3 linked regions of the Arabidopsis thaliana genome follow. The protein of the gene in region 1 purifies or fractionates together with the protein of each later gene. This does not show direct contact. Each region holds a gene or a part of one and is shown in the gene's direction. Other genes may lie near its edges.

Region 1 (7,107 bases):
AAAAACACCAAGAACTCAGGTAATAATCATCTTAACATTAAGAATGAGAACAAATCTGCAAAACTTTACATTTGTAACAAGATTCTGTATCAGTTTCTTCATTGTGATCTCTCTGTTTTGATATCTAAATGGTTTCATGCGGAAGAAGGTGAGAGTAGGATTTCATTATCCAAGAAGGGCTTTGTGCAGTCCTTCGATTACAAGACACTAGAGAAAGCAACAGGCGGTTTCAAAGACGGTAATCTTATAGGACGAGGCGGGTTCGGAGATGTTTACAAGGCCTGTTTAGGCAACAACACTCTAGCAGCAGTCAAAAAGATCGAAAACGTTAGTCAAGAAGCAAAACGAGAATTTCAGGTACCAAAACAAAACACAAGTACTAATCATTTTTACTTTTTTACCGGATTCTTGATATCTGATTTTATCATCTAAATCTCAGAATGAAGTTGATTTGTTGAGCAAGATTCACCACCCGAACATCATCTCATTGTTTGGATATGGAAATGAACTCAGTTCGAGTTTTATCGTCTACGAGCTGATGGAAAGCGGATCATTGGATACACAGTTACACGGTAAAAATAGCTCAAAACATCTTCTCATCATCGTGTAATAGATCATGAGTTAAATTAATACTATAGTATAACAGAGATAAAACAAATCATGTGCCCACATGAAATAAATAATTTTTGTTTTGATAAAATTTAATGTTTGCATCATTAATGGTTAAGGACCTTCTCGGGGATCGGCTTTAACATGGCACATGCGGATGAAGATTGCTCTTGATACAGCAAGGTACTACACTCAAGTGCCCACATTTAACAATCCTCTCTACCGGTTGATTAATTTCGGTTTAGGTAAACCGTTTTCTTATGTTGGTTTGGAAATAGAGCTGTTGAGTATCTCCACGAGCGTTGTCGTCCTCCGGTTATCCACAGAGATCTTAAATCGTCAAATATTCTCCTTGATTCTTCCTTCAACGCCAAGGTAAACAACTTGAATCATTAATGATGATTCTGTTCTGAGCTAACCGAACAAGATTTGTTTCGTTGATTCAAGAATCATTTCATTCATTTGTCTTTAGTTCCATCTCTAACGATAGATCAACATTCAGATTTCGGATTTTGGTCTTGCGGTAATGGTGGGGGCTCACGGCAAAAACAACATTAAACTATCAGGAACACTTGGTTATGTTGCTCCAGAATATCTCCTAGATGGTAAAATATTAACATTTCCCTCTATATTGATCGACTTTGACTCGTTGTCATATCACTAGAGTTATAGCACATAGTTTGATAGTCATAATCATGTGACCCCATAACATTAAGTTTCTTTCATTACGTCTAAAATTGTTGTTCTAAATCAAATCATTTTGTTTGTTGATGTATTATTTCAACTAATCACACATAGAAATCATTATTTGATTAGAGATGGTAGTTGTTGGGTCGCTAAACCGGTTTATTGAGTTTGTCTCATTGCAACATCTTTATGTCCCTCAGGAAAATTGACGGATAAGAGTGATGTTTATGCGTTTGGTGTGGTTTTACTTGAACTCTTGTTAGGAAGACGGCCGGTTGAGAAATTGAGTTCGGTTCAGTGTCAATCTCTTGTCACTTGGGTAAGTCCGGTTTGTGTTGACGTTATTGCCATCAATACATGAATCAGATAGCATTGGTTAATGAGTGTACCGTTTCGAAAAATTTGCAGGCAATGCCCCAACTTACGGATAGATCAAAGCTTCCGAAAATCGTGGATCCGGTTATCAAAGATACAATGGATCATAAGCACTTATACCAGGTTTGCGTCATCTTTTGTCTTTGTGTTTAGGCTTAAAAATCCGATTGGTTACATATTTTTTGTGTTGAAACGTAAATAAAACCGGAAATAAATTGTTCAGGTGGCAGCCGTGGCAGTGCTTTGTGTACAACCAGAACCGAGTTATCGACCGTTGATAACCGATGTTCTTCACTCACTAGTTCCATTGGTTCCGGTAGAGCTAGGAGGGACTCTCCGGTTAATACCATCATCGTCTTGATTTAAGAAAATAATATTTTTTGCTTCTTTTTTTGAATTTTACAGTTTGATCTCTGATTGCTTTGAGTAATTTAATTTGGGGGTGAAAAATGTGAGGACAGAAGGGTATTCACTTGTCATTATTGTATTTGTAAATTGATTAATATATAAATTGTGTTGTCACTAAGTGTAAATATTCAATTAATTGTTGCATGAACCACTAATCACAATCCACTAGTATCCATCCATCCACTCTTTCAACTTTTAAACATAATCCTAAATGACTATCTTACCCCTATCAAGACAAGCCTGAGAAGTGAGAACAACTTCGTAGACATCGTCGTGTCTCTCTCTCGTTGAATCCTTGTTAATCTTTTTCTTCAATCTCTCGATCTGATCGTTATCGAAACCGCGCGATTCTAACCAAGTCCAGGTGACAAATCAGCTCTGCTAAAATACTCACAAAGTCTCGTGATCATATTTTGTGGATCACATCATTGTCTTATTTTTGGAATTGCTTATCCTCGCACTAGTTCACTGATTTGAGATCTGTGCAGTTAATTTTGTGCTCCATAGCGATTCCATGGCTTCTTTAATGTTATCTCTCGGTTCCACTTCTCTGTTACCGCGCGAGATTAACAAGGTACTTTTCGCCGTTCTATCGAGTATATGGTAGAAATTACGCATCAGTTTATTCAAAATCTTACTTTTTTGTTTTCGATTAAACTTGAACAGGATAAGCTAAAGCTTGGAACTTCTGCTTCGAACCCGTTCCTAAAAGCAAAGGTACTCTCTTTTCTTTGTTAGTGCTCGAATCTGAACCATATGAACAATTTTGAATGACGTTTTAGAGTGTTATTAGTCTAATAAGTGTAGTTTGTATCTGAAATTTGTGGATTTTGGTTTCAGTCTTTTAGCAGAGTGACTATGACGGTTGCAGTGAAGCCTTCTCGTTTCGAGGGTATAACTATGGCTCCACCAGACCCTATTCTTGGAGTCAGTGAAGCATTCAAAGCTGACACTAACGGGATGAAACTCAATCTTGGTGTTGGTGCTTATCGTACTGAGGAACTCCAGCCTTATGTGCTTAATGTTGTTAAAAAGGTTGGAACTTGTAACTCTAGTTAATCTCGTATGGCTCTTTTCATGTAGTTAATTTCATTACTTGTCGTTTCTAGGCGGAGAATTTGATGTTGGAGAGAGGAGATAACAAAGAGGTAACTTGGTTTATTTCAAATTGTGCAAGCGATTACATCATCAGAATATCACTAAATTATACCTCACATGGATGGAACTTGCAGTATCTTCCAATTGAGGGGTTGGCAGCATTCAACAAGGCTACTGCTGAGTTGCTATTTGGAGCTGGTCATCCTGTTATTAAGGAACAAAGAGTAATTCTGCATCTTTTGTTCATCATGTTATTAAAATGTTTTCTCATGATGTTCCTGTTTCTGAGCTAATCCATTTACCTTGGCTCTAAATCACCAGGTAGCAACAATTCAGGGTCTTTCGGGAACAGGTTCACTGCGATTAGCAGCGGCTCTTATAGAGCGTTATTTCCCTGGAGCAAAAGTTGTGATCTCATCACCAACCTGGGGTACATTGTCTTGACCACAAACATTTTTGAGTGATTTGGTTTCATATTTAACCGCCTTTATCAACTGTACAAAATACCACATCAGGTAATCACAAGAATATCTTCAATGATGCCAAAGTTCCGTGGTCCGAATACCGCTACTATGATCCAAAAACAATTGGTTTGGATTTTGAGGGAATGATAGCAGATATAAAGGTTTGTTTGTCCTAGAAGGCTATGTTTTAGTTGACATTGCTTTATATATGCATCAACAAACAGGATATCATTTATGTGATGCCAAAGTGAGTATTTGTTTGCAGTTATACTGTCTGTGTGATAAAACGAGTACTTGTTTAAAGACAACGTGAAACCCTGATGGATTATAATGGTTAATCTTGAATTTCTGTTATGTAAAATGTACAGGAAGCTCCAGAAGGATCCTTCATCTTGCTTCACGGATGTGCTCACAACCCAACTGGAATTGACCCAACACCAGAACAGTGGGTAAAAATTGCTGATGTCATTCAGGAAAAGAACCATATCCCATTTTTCGATGTTGCATACCAGGTATCCCCCTATTCCTACATTTCCGAATATCGTGTTTCCGAGAGAAGTAAGCGAAACCATATTATGTAACGCTACATGCACCTATTTTCCAGGGCTTTGCTAGTGGAAGCCTTGATGAAGATGCAGCATCTGTGAGATTATTTGCTGAGCGGGGAATGGAGTTTTTTGTTGCTCAGTCATATAGTAAAAATTTAGGTTTGTATGCAGAAAGAATTGGGGCAATCAATGTCGTGTGCTCCTCAGCTGATGCTGCTACAAGGTAAAACTTACTCTAAATTTTCTTATCATGAGCCTGTTGCAAGTGATCCTGGAGTCTCAGTTTCTATCTTTACCGTCACGAACCATATCTAGCTACAGGTTTTATGGAACCTTTACCAGTAACACTACTTGCTTTCAGGGTCAAGAGCCAGTTGAAAAGGATTGCTCGGCCTATGTACTCGAATCCACCAGTTCATGGGGCGAGAATCGTGGCCAATGTAGTGGGTGATGTAACTATGTTCAGTGAATGGAAAGCAGAGATGGAAATGATGGCAGGAAGAATAAAGACGGTTAGACAAGAGCTGTATGATAGCCTCGTTTCAAAAGACAAGAGCGGGAAGGACTGGTCCTTCATTCTGAAGCAAATTGGCATGTTCTCTTTCACCGGCCTAAACAAAGCTCAGGTATGCCAACAATTTTAATACTACACAGATTCCCTTTGGCCTTGTTTAGACTTGTGGTTTGAAGTTTGTGCTGTTTTCTTTTGGTAACGAGCAGAGCGATAACATGACGGACAAATGGCATGTGTATATGACTAAAGACGGGAGGATATCATTGGCCGGATTATCTCTGGCCAAATGCGAGTATCTTGCTGATGCGATCATCGACTCATACCATAACGTAAGCTGAGCTTCCATCTCAGTAGATGACAATAAGAAACAGTTTTATATACCCTTTTTAGCTTCTTCTTGATCTTTGATTGAAACCAGATGGCTAAATTAATAAGCTAGCATCACACTATGATTGCTAGACAATTTTCAAGGAAACTTTTGATTTGATCGTGTTTGACAGGCCTTGTTGTATTGGGAGACTCCCATCGAGTTATAGAAGAACTTGTTACGATTGTATTTTACATAATTTCACAACTATACTTGACCGGAAGAGTTACAACAGAAATGATCAGATTGTACAGTGTGATCTATCTTAATACCAGTGCAATTCCACATTGTCTGCTATAAGAAGCATCGACTCACTATCACATTATCAAAAGATTCAAAACCACTAGATATTAAAACCAGTACAATTACTAGCAAGAAATTCTAAAGCTTCTAGTTCGCAAGTAGATGATTAAATTTAAACCCAATCCAGATTCTAGGTTGCGAGAAAAAATTCTTAAGAAACAACTCTACATGGAAGCAAACCAAGAGATACTTCAATAGTCAAATCACACAAATGTTAAGAAACAACTCCCAATACGAAGAAAATTTGGTAACATGAATCATAATAGAGTAAAAGTCTTACAGAAATATGAAAATGTCATAACTTAAAACAAAAAGAAGACTTGAGGAAATGCTAAACCAAACAGATAAAGAAGACTCTTTTAGAAGGCTTATCACTTAGAATCCGAGCTTGGTTCTACGCCAGTGCCTGCGCTTGGCATTGTACCTGAAATTAACCACACAATGAAATCAGTTTTAGAACTAAATCGATCAACTAACACAACTAAATATATCTTCAATTTGATAGATCAGGGAATAAACAATAGACAAAAAAAAACAAGAATAGTCGAACCTGATGGTGTTGTCGGTACGAAGACGAATCCAGTGAGGAATAGGCCTGTTCTGTCTCATCTTCTTTCCCAACTTCTTCTTAATCATAAACGACTTGTGCGACGGCTGTTACATTTCATTTTTCCAACACAAATCAAAATCACTAATTTCGTTTCGATATCTAACTAACAACAAATCAAACTCTTTAATCAATCCAAACAGGCGAAACTAACAAACGATTGTAACAAAGATTAAAAATTTGCGAGAGAGCGAGACTAACCATCTTGAAGTCGTGAGATTCGCAGCTGCTCAGCGAGGCAAAAAATACGAAGAAGAGGCGACTAACCTTTTTAAGAAGTTAAAACGATGAAACCCTAGTAAAGTCTTCTTTATTGGGCTTTTTATGTGATAACAGTCTTTTTAGGTTTCATGTTTCGGCCCAAGGCCCATGATTTTTAGTCTTGTAGCGAAACGTCAATTTTTTATTGGTCACGTTCCCAAGTTTGACACTTCTACACTCAAGAAGTCAACATTTCTTACAACGAAATTTCCTGTTGTAAGATTTTGGGGGAAATGGCTGTTCTACGAAAGCTCTGATATAACCTTTTGTACTCTTATTGATTTACAAATGTTTGTACTTGCTCGTAGGACGTGATTGATCCTAGAGCAAGCTTTATGTCTCACATGTCTGTGAAACAAATAGCTGTTCTTTTCTATCACTGATTTTGACATCTGTAGGCTCTAAAAACACACTACTTCTTCTTGCAATTGTACATTGTGTGCTTAATAGGTTCCAATCCTAGTTTCAAGCATCAGTTTTAGTCACTTTAGTTATTTACTATATAATTTCTTTGTTTGCGTATCTTGCCTGGAACTGTTGTTAGTGTCACTTCTACACCAACTGGTTCTTTTAAGCAGTGCCATCTCATGGATCATTGTGAAACCAAAGATAATTTTGACACATTAAGATACAGAGCCAAATGTTTAGTTTTATTGACCAATAGACTTATTACAGAGCCAAGATAGAGCATACGGACTGTATGAAAGTGAGAAGGAGAAGAAGTAAAGCTGCAAAAACAGAAGCAACTGCCCAAGGATTGTGGAAGTAGTCACGTCTCAGAATCGCCTTCCACCTGTTCCATGGTGTGTTGCAGTAAGCTTGAAGGTTCTCAGAGAGCATCGAAAAGTAGAATCTTCTGTCATAGA
Region 2 (9,415 bases), on another chromosome or scaffold:
ATATCAAACCTTGCACGATTATTTGATAATGTGATGGTTTATTTGAAATCTACATATACATTTTTGCAGCCACTTTGTGAAATAAATCTTCAAGTTGAGACTTATTTACAGTGGCTGCCACCGGCATTTAATAATTGTTTTTGATAATTAGAAAGTAAATCTTCGAATTAAATATTTGCATTTAACTACCTTTCCAAAATCTCTCTGCATTAACTATACGATTAATTACTAAAATAAAATTTCCAAAATATTTAATATCATTTAAATACTACAAAATTATCATTTTTGATATTGCTTTTTTTTTATGACTATAACAATTCGATTATAAGCAGCAAACCGTAAAGATATTTGATAGCAATTAATTACTACAAAATTATAAAATATTTAGACAATGATTCATAAACATATCATAAATAAGATCAACATTAATAAAATAAATAGTTTTTTTTACGAGACGGGTTGGCGGGACGGGTTTGGCAGGAAGCTACTTAATAACAATTGTAAACTATAAAATAAAAATATTTTATAGATAGATAAAATTTGTAAACTTTTATATATACTAACTTTAAGGAAATAAATTGTCTCCGCGGTATACCGCGGGTTAAAATCTAGTTAATTAGTGTTATCGACTCATGATTAAATATATAGAATTGATATAAACTGAACAAGATTTCAAAAGTATTCATATGAAAAGAATTAAAAAAAAAAGCATAAATTAAAGCAGTATTTAAGTCAATACTTTTAGATCTTCTCTCATTGCATATATCAATATAAGAGAAATGATCGTGTATTAAATTATTTGGTAAGTCTAACGTTTTAAAGGTTTATTATTTGAAAAAACTTGAGTGTCAATGTTATCAAAGACTCAAAATAAAATTACTAAACTAATAAGAGGTTAGGTAACGAACAAGTACAACACAAAAAAATTAGTAAAATAAAAAGAGTATAATAAAAGTAGTGCTTAATTTATTAACATAATTTTTTATTTTATTTTTATCTTGAAAAAATCAATTAAGAGTAGGATTGATGATACATTTAATTTGCTTATTTAATATGATTAATATTTTAATTTAAAAAATATAGAATGACACATGTCATTTTTTTGTGTGATGATGTGTCATTCATATGGAAAGAGTTGGCCAACTTTCATATATATGATTAGATTTCTAAATGATCATTGCCGTAATATTAGTAAAGATGTGTCCAGTGTTTTAGCAATTTTTACCAAACTAATTTTGATTTACATCTTTAATTAAATATTTCATTTATTAATAATTAATGTCAATAGCATGACATTGTAAATAAGTTCAAGTACAAGATTTATTTGTTAAAGTAGCTGAAAAATGTATATGTAGATTTTAGATCTCTAAATAAGATTAACATAAGAAATCTGTATCGGTCTAACTAATGATGAATCGCGAAGGACAACGTTAGAAAACTAATGACGAAAATATGTTCATGAGAATAATATATACTAAACTAATAAGAGGTTTGGTAGCAAACAACTACAACACAAAAAAAAGTCATTATCTAGTAGTGATTATTGATAATAAAAATTTAATAAAATAAAGAGTATAATGAAAGTAGTGCTTAATTTATTAACATAATTTTTTTTTATTTTATTTTGAATCAATTAAGAATAGGATTAATCATACATTTAATTTTAGAGTATTTATAATAAATGACTATAGATTTGAAAAGAATGTACAAACTAACCTTGAGTCACAGTATCTTGTCGGAAACATGTTGGAGAACACTTGTTATTTTCTCTTATTACATAGTATTTATAAAAAGCACATGCTATTTTTTGGAAAAAACATTGTATTCAGTTTAATATATCTTTTTATCATGATATTTTGTAGTAATACACGTTTTTTATTGAGATCACACGTGATTTCTTTAAAAATATTCTTATTTTTTAGTAATACATGGTTTTTATTAAAATCACATATAATTTTTGTTTTAAGATTCTGTTCATGTAAAAGAATTTCATAATAATGTTTTAAAAAAAAAAATTCATAACGTATTATGAAATAGCATGTTTTTAAACTAAATATAACATGTGAAATTTTAATGTTACATGATATTTTGAAAAATTACACGGATGTGTTTCGTTTACTTTTCATCTTACAACAAATAAAGGATAGCTTTATTATTTCCTTTCTTCCGACAACGTGGGTCCATGGTTATTTTGTAACAAAAAACTTTATCTCTGCTAGTTTCTTAATTTGTATGTTTTATTTGGTTATCTACTAATATTACCTTTAATTTTATTATTTTTTAAATTTAAAAATATAGAATGATATATGTCAAACTTTTGTGTGATGCTTTTGTGTGATGGTGTGTCATTCATATGGAGAGTGTTGACCAATTTTCATATATATATGATTATATATTAAGAAACTATATATTACGTTGTCTTTTTCAAACAGGTAAAAATGTTATGAGATTTATTTGATTTTTAAGTAATTATTTAAATTAAAATAAATAAAAATATATATTATTTTAATAATAGGGGCTAAATAGAAATTATGTGGAGGAGAGGGGCTGCGTAGATTAAAATCCAAAAAATACCGTAAACAAAAAAAAATATTCCCTTGCGAGAGAGGGAAGATTGACTTATTGGCACGCAGCCCTAGGCATTTTCGTTTCGTCTCCACACGCCTCTCTCTCTCTCTCGCTTCTTCAATCATTCATCACTCCGACGTCAGATTCAAAATCCTCCATGATCGATCCCAATTGATCAATCAATAACCTTATCTTCTTCATCTTCTCTGTCAGTATCTGAATCTGCATCTGGAAGCGTGATTTCATCATCATGTATTTAACCGCTTCATCTTCCGCTTCTTCCTCCATCATCCGAGCTGCTTCTTCTCGCTCTTCTTCTCTTTTCTCTTTCCGATCGGTTTTATCTCCCTCCGTTTCATCTACTTCTCCGTCGTCTCTTCTCGCTCGTAGATCTTTTGGTACCATTTCCCCTGCTTTCCGTCGCTGGAGCCATTCCTTTCACTCGAAACCATCTCCGTTTCGCTTCACCTCTCAGATCAGAGCTGTTTCTCCAGTCTTAGATCGTCTCCAGAGAACCTTCTCTTCCATGGGTAAAATATCTCGATCTGATTGATCTAGCTTGAGTTTTTTATTCCGATCTCTGTTGATTAGTAGTAACTGTTTTGTGATTATGATTGTTTCAGCGTCAGAGCATCCGTTTAAAGGGATCTTCACTACACTTCCTAAGCCTGGTGGTGGTGAATTCGGAAAGTTCTATAGCTTACCTGCTCTTAACGATCCACGAGTTGGTATGGATTTTTTGAATCTCTCTTTGAATGAGTTTATGAAGGACCTGAGAATCTGAAGAGGAGTGTTGTATTTGCAGATAAACTTCCTTACTCTATTAGGATTCTGCTTGAATCTGCGATTCGTAATTGTGATAACTTTCAAGTTACTAAGGAAGATGTTGAGAAGATTATTGACTGGGAAAAGACATCTCCTAAACAAGTAGAGATTCCTTTTAAACCAGCTCGTGTTCTTCTTCAGGACTTTACGGGAGTCCCAGCTGTTGTTGACCTTGCTTGTATGCGTGATGCGATGAATAAGCTGGGAAGTGATTCCAACAAAATCAATCCCTTGGTATGTTTTTGTTTGCCACAGATTGATGCTTTTTGTTTAGGTTAGGGTTCTTTTAGATTTCTTATGTTATACTGTGTCTCTCAGGTTCCGGTGGATCTTGTGATTGATCACTCGGTTCAAGTAGATGTAGCTCGATCAGAGAATGCAGTGCAAGCAAACATGGAGCTTGAGTTCCAGAGGAACAAGGAGAGGTTTGCTTTCCTTAAATGGGGTTCTACTGCGTTCCAGAACATGCTTGTTGTGCCTCCTGGCTCTGGTATTGTGCATCAGGTAATTCTCTTTTTTAAAGTGTGCGAGTCCATAAGTTGTTTCTAAACTTGTTCTGACATTGATATATATCCTTTTCAACCTCATGTTTCCAGTGTATTGAAATGTTTCTTTTCATTTATTATCTTCTTTTATCTGTCTTGAAGTTTGTCTCAAACTAACCTCATCTTGAAAATTCAGGTCAATTTGGAATATCTTGGAAGAGTTGTGTTCAATACCAAAGGCCTTCTCTACCCAGACAGCGTGGTTGGAACTGATTCACATACAACTATGATTGATGGTTTGGGAGTTGCTGGATGGGGTGTTGGGGGTATTGAAGCTGAGGCAACAATGCTTGGCCAGGTAAATTATTTTGATTATTTACATGACGCACATCAGATGTTGGTTAATCTGGAGTCAACTTTACTGAATTTTAGATTAGATCACTATATTTTATGACTCTTCTGCTCCAATACAGTGAGGTTTGTGAATTTTTCTTATACTGATAACGCTTTTTTGGTTTGACAGCCCATGAGTATGGTATTGCCTGGTGTTGTTGGATTCAAACTTGCCGGAAAAATGCGTAATGGTGTAACAGCTACTGATTTGGTTCTAACAGTGACTCAAATGCTGAGGAAGCATGGCGTTGTTGGAAAGTTTGTTGAGTTTTATGGTAATTATATCCTTGTGAGCTCTTAAGTGTTTTGCTCTTTTATAATAGACATGTGTTTGTTGGAGCATTATAAGTCTACTTTTTTCTTCTTAGGTAATGGCATGAGTGGGCTGTCCCTAGCTGACAGGGCGACAATTGCCAATATGTCTCCCGAGTATGGTGCAACCATGGGCTTCTTCCCTGTGGATCATGTTACTCTACAATATCTCAAATTGACTGGAAGAAGCGATGAGACAGTGAGTGTTTGACTTTAATCTTCCTTCTATATATATTCAGATATCTGGTCTGATACAATACTTTCATGGCAGGTGGCTATGATTGAAGCATATCTTCGGGCTAACAATATGTTTGTTGACTACAATGAGGTAAATTAGCCTTATACTTTCTTTCTTTTTTTGTTTCTTAATCTCCTTTCAGGTTTTTATTTGACTTTGCTTGTGAATAAATTTCAGCCTCAGCAAGACCGGGTTTACTCGTCATATCTAGAACTGAATCTGGATGATGTTGAACCTTGCATTTCTGGACCAAAGCGGTATGGGTTCTGTTGGTTTTTGTAATCGCGAAGTTTATTGTCTGAATAATTGGTCATGACCATATTATTGATATCTTCTTTGCAGGCCACATGATCGTGTTACTTTGAAGGAAATGAAAGCTGACTGGCATTCATGTCTTGACAGTAAAGTTGGGTTCAAGGTATGTAACTGGATGTTTCACTTTGTGGATGTCTAATCTCTTAACCATTTACTCGTTCTATAGACTGGGTTGTTGGTGCACATTTTGGAAATCAATGTTTATTTCTGAATATTGCTATTCATTCTCCGCAGGGTTTTGCTATACCTAAAGAGGCACAAGAAAAAGTGGTAAATTTTTCGTTCGATGGACAACCAGCAGAGCTTAAACATGGAAGTGTGGTGATTGCTGCAATCACAAGCTGTACTAATACATCAAATCCCAGCGTCATGCTTGGTGCTGGTCTTGTTGCAAAGAAGGCTTGTGACCTTGGGCTACAGGTTGGTTTCACGAGAGCAAACTAGAAATCTATCTGATGCCTCGACATTTTCTGATCCCTTTTTCAAAAACTTGCCTCTGTAGGTTAAGCCTTGGATAAAGACAAGTCTTGCTCCAGGCTCAGGAGTTGTTACAAAATACTTATTAAAGAGGTATGTCGTATTTTTATCTAGTTCTTCGTTGTTAAAGGCTAATTCTTTCTTATGTGATGGTAAATTTAAGTGTAACATCTTACTCCATGCAGTGGATTGCAAGAATATCTGAATGAACAGGGTTTCAATATTGTCGGCTACGGGTGCACTACATGCATCGGGAATTCTGGGGAAATTAATGAATCAGTGGGAGCTGCTATTACCGAAAATGGTATTATTGAGATTCCCAACTAAACTTACTTTGGACTTTCCATCCTTTATATTACTATTATATATAAGTAAGTAGCTGATTTGTTTTCAATATTTGTGTTGCTTGGTTTTAGACATTGTGGCGGCTGCTGTGCTATCCGGTAACAGGAACTTTGAGGGGCGTGTTCATCCACTAACAAGAGCCAATTACCTTGCATCTCCTCCGTTGGTGGTTGCCTATGCTCTTGCTGGCACGGTAATAAATCTTGAGAACTTGTCAAAGTTCAACTTACATTTTGTATGAGATAATGACACATGACTGATTATCACATTGGTAATTTTGGCGTTCTTCTTTCTTATTTTCCAGGTTAACATTGACTTTGAAACGGAGCCTATTGGCAAAGGAAAGAATGGCAAGGACGTCTTCTTAAGAGATATCTGGCCAACCACGGAAGAAATTGCTGAGGTATATACGACTTAACCAGAGAACAATAACATCTTTTTTATACACAAATATTAAACTAATCTTTTGACATATGGATCAGGTTGTTCAATCCAGTGTTTTGCCTGACATGTTCCGAGCAACGTACGAGTCAATCACCAAGGGTAACCCCATGTGGAATAAGCTGTCTGTTCCTGAGAATACCCTCTACTCATGGGATCCCAACTCAACTTACATTCACGAGCCTCCATACTTCAAGGACATGACCATGGATCCTCCTGGTCCACACAATGTGAAGGATGCTTACTGTTTACTCAATTTTGGGGACAGTATCACCACTGATCACATCTCACCAGCTGGAAACATCCAAAAGGACAGTCCTGCTGCAAAGTTTCTCATGGAGCGTGGCGTTGACCGTAAGGACTTCAACTCATATGGAAGTCGCCGTGGGAATGATGAAATAATGGCCAGAGGTACTTTTGCTAATATCCGTATCGTTAACAAGCTCATGAATGGTGAAGTTGGCCCTAAGACTGTTCACATTCCATCTGGAGAGAAGCTCTCAGTCTTTGACGCTGCCATGGTTTGTATTTATCTAATTAAAATTTGTATTACTGACTGTATGTTGATCATGTCGAATGTCTCCTTATCATAATGTCAAATGTATCAGAGGTACAAGTCATCTGGTGAAGACACAATTATTCTGGCTGGAGCTGAGTATGGAAGTGGTAGCTCACGTGATTGGGCTGCCAAGGGACCCATGCTACAGGTTTAGAACCGCTTCTCTAGTTTCTTTCCGCATAAACCAATCTTACTGTTTTATTCTGAAACAACAAGTTTGGGATTGTCAGGGTGTTAAAGCGGTGATTGCAAAGAGTTTTGAGAGGATTCACCGAAGCAACTTGGTGGGAATGGGAATCATCCCATTGTGCTTTAAGTCCGGTGAAGACGCAGATACTCTTGGATTGACTGGTCACGAACGCTACACGATCCATCTCCCAACCGATATCTCAGAGATAAGACCTGGCCAAGATGTTACCGTCACTACCGACAACGGAAAATCTTTCACTTGCACAGTCCGCTTCGACACAGAGGTAACTAAATACTCCAATCTTTAGTGAAAAAAAGCTTTTCAATGTGAAGGAACTAATAATGGTAAAATAAATGTGCAGGTGGAATTGGCATACTTTAACCATGGAGGCATACTTCCATATGTTATCAGAAACTTGAGCAAGCAATAGTGAAGGAAGCAATACACAAGTTATGGAGCAAAATAAAAGAGTGTTTGTTTCTGTTTTAAAATGTCTTTTTTAAAAGGCAGATAAGTCTGTCTAGGATTAGGTTAAAAGGTGAGTGATCTCATGCAATATATGAGTTTCAGTGGGTTATTCTTACACGCTTAGGCTCCCATGTTTCGCAACTTGCAAGAGTTGAATATTATTGTTTTTGAAAAGGAATAAGAGAGCCTTCTTGCATATTCCCATTACTGACTCCCAAAGACCTCGCAATCTGTTGCATTTCACAAGCGTATTCAGCAGCATCTATACCAATTCTCAGATCATGTTCAAGAACACCTGCTCTATTCAAATCTACTTGCACCATTAGAGTAACCAACTAATACATAAGAAACACAAACATCTTGCAGCTGAAGCCTAAAACCAATACAAGAATCTGATAAAACCAAACTGAAACTTGTCATAAATTCCATATGAACCTGAGAGTAATCTCCTGTGTCTGAATGAAGTAACTTGCCAGCATCTTCTTCCATATGAACCCTAGTAATACCAAAATCTCCTATGTCCACCACCAAACTCAAGAGGAATATCCAAATCTGATAACCTTGAAGAAGATCTGGATAAAAATACTGCTTCCTATCGAATTTAGACTTAAGAGACAAATCACAATTCAAAGCTAACCCCAATAACCCACTTTTTTAATAGATTTCCTTTCTTTCTTTCTGATCCATCTCGTTTACTTTGCTATAAATAAGAGCTTTGGTAAGCCAAACCTTCTTGTCTTCTAAGTGAACTAGTCTTGTCACGAGCTTCTTCTAGATCTTGTTTCAAAAGTTTGTTTATACCAATGGGTCCAACAGAGCTTAGAGAGGCTAGAATAGAAATTACCAAAGATTTTATAAAGAGAGCTGCTCTAAGGATTCAGCGTGAAAATCGGCGAAGGAATGATCCAGATGAAGATAAAAATGCTGAGACTAAATTGGCTTTAAAGCATTGTAAAGACATGGTTCTTGGTTCTAGTAAATTTGGGGATGATCGTCCTCTTACTGGTTGCTCCTTATCACGAGATGGAAAAATACTCGTCACATGTTCTCTTAGTGGGGTTCCTAAATTGTGGGAGGTGCCTCAAGTTACAAACAAGATTGTTGTCTTGAAAGGTCATAAAGAACATGTAACTGATGTAGTGTTCTCGTCTGTGGATGATGAATGTCTAGCAACTGCTTCTACTGATCGAACTGAAAAGATATGGAAAACGGATGGAACACTTCTACAAACTTTTAAAGGTCATTCAGATCGTCTTGCACGCATTGCATTCCACCCGTCATAGTCGTAGTGTTGAGATGCCTCCGGACAACGAGTTTTGATAAAACATGGAGATTGTGGGATATAAACATAGGAGTTGAGATGCTTTAACACAAGAAGGTCATAGTCGTAGTGTCTACGGAATTGCATTTCAACAAGATGGATCATTAGTAGCTTCTTCGGGTTTTGATTCGCTTGCAAGAGTTTGGGATCTTCGTACGGCTAGGAATATTCTTATCTTCCAAGGACATATCAAACAGGTTCTCTCGGTGGATTTCTCTCCTAATGGTTATCATTTGGCATCTGGTGGTGAAGATAATCAATGCCGTATTTGGGATCTACGGATGAGAAAGTTGTTGTATATTATACCAGCTCATGTGAACCTCGTTTCTCAAGTAAAGTACGAACCACAAGAACGCTATTTCCTGGCTACTGCCTCACACGACATGAACGTTAATATATGGTCAGGTAGAGATTTCTCGCTTGTTAAAAGCTTAGTAGGACATGAGTCAAAAGTCGCATCTCTTGATATCGCTGTAGA
Region 3 (6,420 bases), on another chromosome or scaffold:
GTACACCGACTTTTCGTTGACCGAAATACCCCCAGCGTGGACACAACTCCAATTTAGGCAATGATGTTTTTAGTCTTTTCTTTTCCAAGAAACTCAATCTATCTTTCTCGATTTCTTTTGTTGTCTTCTTGGAAACACTTGTTAGATTGTTTTTGAGTTTCAAACAAACAGGTGATAAATTCGGTGATCTCTGCTTTTTGCTCTTTTCTTTTGGCAACAAAAGAGTCACGTTTTCCCACTTTTGTGCATCTCAGTCATCTTTCTCTCTCTCTCTCTATGCTGCTTTGCGGAAAGACCACAAAGCCCTCACATCAAGGGAGAGGGGAGAGGTCTTCTGGGTCAAATCAGCGTTGTAGACTTCAATGCTAAAGAGAAAAAATAAACACATTCATTATCATTACCAAGCTAATGACTAAATTAACCCTTGTCACCAGGTTAGCTGCTTCTCACGATAGAGGGTATATTAGTCAATGCCAGAGATTATCGCTGGCGTTATTTATAATTTGGGAGGCGTTTTCGTGGAATTGAATTTAAGATTAGAGTATGAGTGGATTAGGTACGTGTGTGGTAGGGTTTAGTGGGGAGAGCAGTTATCAGATGTGGCGCAGTGGACAATAAGTAGTATGTACTCGTTCTCTAGTAGTAGTGGTCAAAGTCCTCAGTTGTTGCAACGGATTAGGTCCTGTGATTCGTCCGTCAGATTTTCTTGGTGACAGTCTTGTTGAGTTAGCCTGTTTTACTTTTTTTTTTACAAAGTTTAGTTAAGATTGTTGTCTGATTTGAAGTTGACTTTGATCGGTGGGTTATAATTTGAAAACCAAAGTAAAGTCGTCAAACTAAAGGAAATGGAATTTTTGGGTAGAATAAAATAAAAATAGAAAGATGATAGATAATAAGGACAAGTGGTGGTGTGGAGAATACGTGACACTAGTTTGGGGTTGGAGGACAAGGAAAAGCATGACGTGTGAATGTGACGACCAAACACACACGCTTTATATTTAAAAGTCTCCCAAGTCACGCTCCACTCACGTGTTTCTATGTTTTTCTATATATTTATTTATTTGCCCTTCTGTTTTTTCTTTTTGAGTAGTTGACCAAGAAGATACTGCTGAAATTTACATGATTTGGAATTTTCTTTTAGATTTCCAAGTTCTAGTTGTTATTTGTTAATATGCTGATGAAGTGATTCTTTTGTTTCCAACTTATCGTGCCTCTAAAGTCTCTCTCGAATGGTAGGTGTGTGGTTTCTTTATAGAAATGATATACAATACAAAAACAAATTGTTTTTACGGTATTAGTTTGGTGTGATTATTGATTGTTGAGCTGGCTTTATCTGGTGGTGTTGTGTGTCTTAAGCCATAATCTGATTGTTTTTGTTTTGATGTCCAGATTTCTCAAACGAGTGCAATAACAACAACAACAACAACAACCCTTTTCAAGAGATCAAGAAAGAAGAAGGTAAAAAATACGAAAGACAGTGTTTCTATTAGTTACTGATACTGTTAAAAGATAATATTACTAGTTTTAGACCAGACATAGAGCAACTCTGACCAGGCTACTACCTACTGGTTTGTTTAAATCTGTTGAGGCATATTGTCTAAGATACGCCTAGCAATCTTATATTTTCTACATTTGGACTGATATGGTTTTACATTTTAGCCGATTCAAACCTATATTTCTCTAATTAATATATATGATTGTTGACAGACTTTGGCTGAGCTTAAAGAGGAAGAGATCATGCTCTTGAAGGAAAGTAACGGCCTGAAAAATGTATAACCTCCATTTTAGCCTCTTTCTTTATGTCTCTATATATCAAGTCCAAGTTCTAATCTTAGATTTGGTTAATCTTATTCTTGAATCAGGAATTGGCAAATATGCGCGATTTGCTCGAGCAACAAAGAGCAAGAAACACTGCTCTAAAGAAGATGAAGGTGAGCCCATCGCTCTCTCTCTCTCTCTCTCTCTATCTTTCTATACATGTACTCATTCAATCATATATACGGAAGATAAACATGTTAATTATTCAAGTATATCATTTTCATGTGTATGCAGGCTGAATCACAATCTGCCTTATCGTGCAAACTCACTTTCGAACAAGGTTCTTCCTTCTTGCTCCCTGACCTAAACATGCCTCTAGATAACGACCCGAGCCCTGAAGTTGTCTGCTGAACGGGCGAGCCACAAGCATATCATTCTTTTGTTTTTCCCATTACACAACACTATACCACTATACCTCCTCCGTCCACAAACATGTTTTTTGAACTGTAACTATATGAATATGAAGAACGTAGATTAATCCTATATATCCTTCACCCATATCCCGGTGGAAGCTGAAGAAGATTCGCCTGAAGGTGAAGTGGTTCGAGACTATGGTTAAGTGTGTTAACAATATCTTCTAGTTTAGCTGGTAGTAAGATTTTTGTTCTGCCAATCTCCTAAATGATTCTTATCTTTCTCCCATTTTATTAGGATGAGATGTAATTATCTACTTAGATAATAGATGTACACCTTTTTTTTTTTGTTTGTTCTTTCTTATTATCTCTGGTAAGATGTATTACATCGACATTTATAATCAGTGTAACACGTTCCAAACATTTTACTATATTTTGTATTATGATTGATGGACTAAAAAATATCTGCAGTCTTGCATTCTTTTTCATCGTTATAAATAATTTAGAAATTTCAAACCATTAATACTAAAAACACGTAATTACGGAAAAAGTAAGATACTAATCAGATTCTTTATTAAGCTCAGCTAAACCAGTAGTAGTAAAATTATCACTGGCCTTAAAACCCTAGAAATAGAATTAATCTCAGCTATTTTGTCTTAACGACTCTTTATTGTCCCGACACACGAAAATGGCGTCTCTTAGCCAAATCACCCTGCCACGCGCGCCGTCGTCGGAGATTGGCCTCTTACGCCGTCGATTGGAGCGGCCGATCATCAGAACCCGGATCGGATTCAACGGCCGGATTGCGAGCGTATTGACTAACGCAGGGGACCAAGCGGTGTCGGTAAAAGCGAGTGTGAGCCAGAAGGTGATTGAAGAGGAAGCCAAAGTTATTGTGGGTACCTACGCGCGAGCTCCAGTGGTTCTCTCGAGTGGGAAAGGTTGTAAATTGTTCGACCCTGAAGGAAAAGAGTATCTGGATTGTGCATCTGGAATCGCTGTGAATGCTCTTGGTCATGGAGATCCTGATTGGCTTCGAGCTGTCACTGAGCAAGCTGGTGTTCTTGCCCATGTCAGCAATGTTTATTACACGATCCCTCAGGTATTTATTCGTTACTGTATTTTTGCATTACTGATTCTGTTGATGGCTGACGAAAGCTTAAAACTTTTGTTGTTTTTATCCTCTGTGTGATTGAGCTATGGCCTATGGAAACATGCTAGGGAATGTTGGATTAGTCTTCTACTTATAATAGCGAGATTATTCTATGACAAGTACTTGCACTTTGAAATTTCATCAAATTGGATTGTTTCTACGCCTTCCCTATAGAAATTTTTATGAGAAGTATCTGACCTCATTGTAAACTCTTAGTGTACATATGCTCCTCAATGCCCAATTCCTCGAAAAAAGGAACCTTTATGCTCATATCTACTTCATATGGGTTGTTAAAATCTGAAATGTTTGAACTTCTCTGCAGATAGAGCTCGCAAAACGCTTGGTGGCGAGTTCTTTTGCAGACCGTGTATTCTTTTGTAACTCGGGAACGGAAGCCAATGAAGCAGCCATTAAGTTTTCAAGAAAATTCCAGAGATTCACCCATCCAGAAGACAAAGAAGTCGCGACAGGTTTCATCGCCTTTACAAACAGCTTCCATGGAAGAACCTTAGGAGCTCTTGCCTTGACAAGCAAAGAACAATACAGAACTCCTTTCGAACCCATCATGCCTGGTGTAACCTTCTTAGAATATGGTAACATTCAAGCAGCCACAGACCTTATCCGCTCAGGTAAAATAGCTGCAGTTTTTGTGGAACCAATTCAAGGAGAAGGCGGGATTTACTCTGCTACAAAAGAGTTTCTGCAATCTCTGCGCTCTGCTTGTGATGCCGCTGGATCTCTTCTCGTCTTCGATGAGGTAATATACTCTACCGTCCATCCAAAATTTTATTTTCTTTCTTTGTTTCTGTTTTTTGATTGGTCTTGCCTCAACTGGGTTCATTGTCCCAGGTTCAATGTGGTTTGGGTCGAACGGGTCTCATGTGGGCTTATGAAGCCTTCGGTGTGACTCCTGACATAATGACGGTTGCAAAGCCTTTAGCTGGTGGTTTACCTATTGGAGCGGTGCTGGTGACTGAAAAGGTTGCAGAGACCATAAACTACGGAGATCATGGAAGTACATTTGCAGGCAGCCCTCTTGTGTGCAGTGCAGCCATTGCAGTTATGGATAAAGTATCGAAACCCTCTTTCTTGTCCAGTGTCTCAAATAAAGGTCGATACTTTAGAGACCTGTTGGTGAAAAAACTTGGAGGAAACTCGCACGTGAAGGAAGTGAGAGGCGAAGGGCTTATCATAGGAGTGGAGCTCGATGTGCCGGCAAGCTCACTGGTTGATGCTTGCCGAGATTCGGGTCTTCTGATCTTGACAGCGGGGAAAGGAAATGTCGTCAGGATTGTTCCTCCGTTGGTTATATCAGAGGAGGAAATCGAACGTGCGGTTGAGATCATGTCTCAAAATTTGACTGCGCTTGATTGAAGTTCTTGGAAGAGAAATGATGTGGTGTTGAAGAAGAGCTAATGTTTTATATTCGATCTTGTCTTAAATTAGCCTCAAGTGTACCGGTAAAGATGCTCTGCACAATTGAAAAGAAATAAAATTTGACACAAAACTTGATGAACTAATTGTTCAATCTAAATACTTGTATAATTTCCATGGTTGGTTCGATGACGTCTCTATCGCGATTGTTTCCGTCTTGCGTTATAGCATGCTGGTTATGAGCTGCGTGAGGAATCAGAGCACATAGATGATAACGGTGATAGAAATATTGGTAGAGTATCCAACGAACCAGCATTGGAAAGACGTGAATCCAATTTATCGGCAGTGTATGCATTGGTCGCAACCAAGAATCTTAGGGGTCTAATTTAAAAAATGATAATTAGGGCCTTAGGCGATCCTGAACTAATGTCGAGAATTTTGGCGTTTAGTTCTGTTAATTAATTACAGATGATTGATTTTTGAGGGTCTTAGGATGATTTCTCACTATGTCTGTGTTAATAATGCCATTAGGAGTTCTTTACTGTTGCAGGGGTAGGGTTTTGGTATGTAATATAGTATTAGCATTGATGAAAATAAACAGGTGTAGCAAGAGAAGATTTCCTATAAGGTTAGTAATGAGTACAAAGCAAAAAAACAGAGCACATGCTCTGCTTCGCTATTTGTTACGGTCTGTTTTATGGCTAACGTTAACGAACAGAGTTATTGTTCTTCTCTGTTTTTGTGGCGGACACTTGCCTAATACATGGTTATTAGCTGAAATTATTGATAATCATGAATTGCGAGGTGTTACAATCGTTGCGGCTTCTACGGAAGACCAAAATTGTAATGCTACAAAGCGGAACTTATGGGATCACACATTGACGCACACACACATGTATGTATGACTGTGTTAGTGTATATGTAGAACTTACTTATTCAAATCTTGTAGCTTTCAGTTTCAGCTACACTATATAATACCAAGTTCCTAAGTTCTTCTGTAGAAACAAGTCCTATGGTTCACTATTCATCAAAAAGCATGATCCAATGATTTATGCACCCAGCTTCTATATCCAGGTTAATAACTACCTAGAGATATTCCATGGGATTCATGTCCAACAGACCAAGATGTGTATTAAATATAATTAGTCTGTTGGATTAGGTGAGAGGAAGGTGCCTTCCTTAGTTAGACTTGACCTCAAGCTGTCTGGCTACTTTGAAGTGTCCCTTAACTTGTTAATGTTATTGATTGTTTAAAGGCTAACAATCGCACAAGACCTTCCAACTACGTCGTCTCGTCACACGTTTGTGAATTACCAAATGTCAACATTGATGGCGCCAAGTTACTTTTATTGCGTTTACACTTTACACATTTTGTGGATAGTTTATTCGATAAGGCTACACTTTCCACTTTCTTTTTTTAAAAAGAAAACAATGTTTTATGTCTCTAGAAGTAGAAACCTTTGCTGATCTCTATATAAACTAATAACAGATTAACCTGAATTATCCTAAACAGAAAATATGTCTCTTGAGATTGATGCGAAGGCTGTCTCAGCACTCCTCCTTGGCCAAGGATGCGCTAACAATCTCAAGACGCTCCTCAAAAACCATGAAACAGGCTCAGTTTCAACAGAGCCACTCATCAACTCCATTCTTGATTCTTTCTCGTTTGCTCTGTCTTCTCAGAACATACCACGTCATGTGTCTCAAAGATCATCAAAGAAG

What was found. The genes of interacting proteins can lie anywhere in the genome.
Region 2: the proteins of ASP5 (region 1) and ACO3 fractionate together in Arabidopsis thaliana (co-fractionation; one large-scale study listed by BioGRID). This does not show direct contact.
Region 3: the proteins of ASP5 (region 1) and WIN1 fractionate together in Arabidopsis thaliana (co-fractionation; one large-scale study listed by BioGRID). This does not show direct contact.

The regions. Positions count from the first base shown.
Region 1 is NC_003075.7:15,469,008-15,476,114, reverse strand, and holds ASP5 (aspartate aminotransferase 5), read left to right. Parts: upstream 1-2,261; 5' UTR 2,262-2,443; exon of another isoform or gene 2,444-2,567; 5' UTR 2,568-2,593; coding exon 2,594-2,653; intron 2,654-2,745; coding exon 2,746-2,796; coding exon of another isoform or gene 2,797-2,812; intron 2,813-2,919; coding exon 2,920-3,114; intron 3,115-3,188; coding exon 3,189-3,227; intron 3,228-3,311; coding exon 3,312-3,401; intron 3,402-3,498; coding exon 3,499-3,607; intron 3,608-3,692; coding exon 3,693-3,802; intron 3,803-4,009; coding exon 4,010-4,153; intron 4,154-4,245; coding exon 4,246-4,412; intron 4,413-4,550; coding exon 4,551-4,815; intron 4,816-4,909; coding exon 4,910-5,032; coding exon of another isoform or gene 5,033-5,041; exon of another isoform or gene 5,042-5,203; coding exon 5,204-5,239; 3' UTR 5,240-5,354; downstream 5,355-7,107. Other genes in the region: AT4G32000 (Protein kinase superfamily protein), read left to right, coding at 1-357, 440-572, 729-792, 888-984, 1,112-1,214, 1,497-1,615, 1,705-1,794, 1,895-2,032; AT4G31985 (Ribosomal protein L39 family protein), read right to left, coding at 5,749-5,797, 5,924-6,027, 6,182-6,184; AT4G31980 (PPPDE thiol peptidase family protein), read right to left, coding at 6,911-7,107. UniProt on the Arabidopsis thaliana protein: Amino acid aminotransferase important for the metabolism of amino acids and Krebs-cycle related organic acids. No activity with D-Asp or D-Ala as amino donors. In plants, it is involved in nitrogen metabolism and in aspects of carbon and energy metabolism.
Region 2 is NC_003071.7:2,138,773-2,148,187, forward strand, and holds ACO3 (aconitase 3), read left to right. Parts: upstream 1-2,556; 5' UTR 2,557-2,818; coding exon 2,819-3,098; intron 3,099-3,191; coding exon 3,192-3,296; intron 3,297-3,373; coding exon 3,374-3,627; intron 3,628-3,711; coding exon 3,712-3,897; intron 3,898-4,074; coding exon 4,075-4,236; intron 4,237-4,401; coding exon 4,402-4,546; intron 4,547-4,639; coding exon 4,640-4,782; intron 4,783-4,854; coding exon 4,855-4,911; intron 4,912-4,998; coding exon 4,999-5,078; intron 5,079-5,163; coding exon 5,164-5,239; intron 5,240-5,370; coding exon 5,371-5,556; intron 5,557-5,638; coding exon 5,639-5,706; intron 5,707-5,798; coding exon 5,799-5,917; intron 5,918-6,029; coding exon 6,030-6,151; intron 6,152-6,262; coding exon 6,263-6,361; intron 6,362-6,440; coding exon 6,441-6,920; intron 6,921-7,007; coding exon 7,008-7,106; intron 7,107-7,188; coding exon 7,189-7,431; intron 7,432-7,509; coding exon 7,510-7,578; 3' UTR 7,579-7,906; and 1 more. Other genes in the region: AT2G05720 (Transducin/WD40 repeat-like superfamily protein), read left to right, coding at 8,420-8,855, 9,049-9,415. UniProt on the Arabidopsis thaliana protein: Catalyzes the isomerization of citrate to isocitrate via cis-aconitate. Contributes to oxidative stress tolerance. Modulates cytosolic citrate metabolism during lipid mobilization. Required during seedling growth.
Region 3 is NC_003070.9:30,296,953-30,303,372, reverse strand, and holds WIN1 (HOPW1-1-interacting 1), read left to right. Parts: upstream 1-2,714; 5' UTR 2,715-2,859; coding exon 2,860-3,273; intron 3,274-3,646; coding exon 3,647-4,081; intron 4,082-4,173; coding exon 4,174-4,698; 3' UTR 4,699-4,911; downstream 4,912-6,420. Other genes in the region: AT1G80610 (uncharacterized protein), read left to right, coding at 1,390-1,458, 1,708-1,770, 1,863-1,931, 2,053-2,169; WRKY66 (WRKY DNA-binding protein 66), read left to right, coding at 6,217-6,419.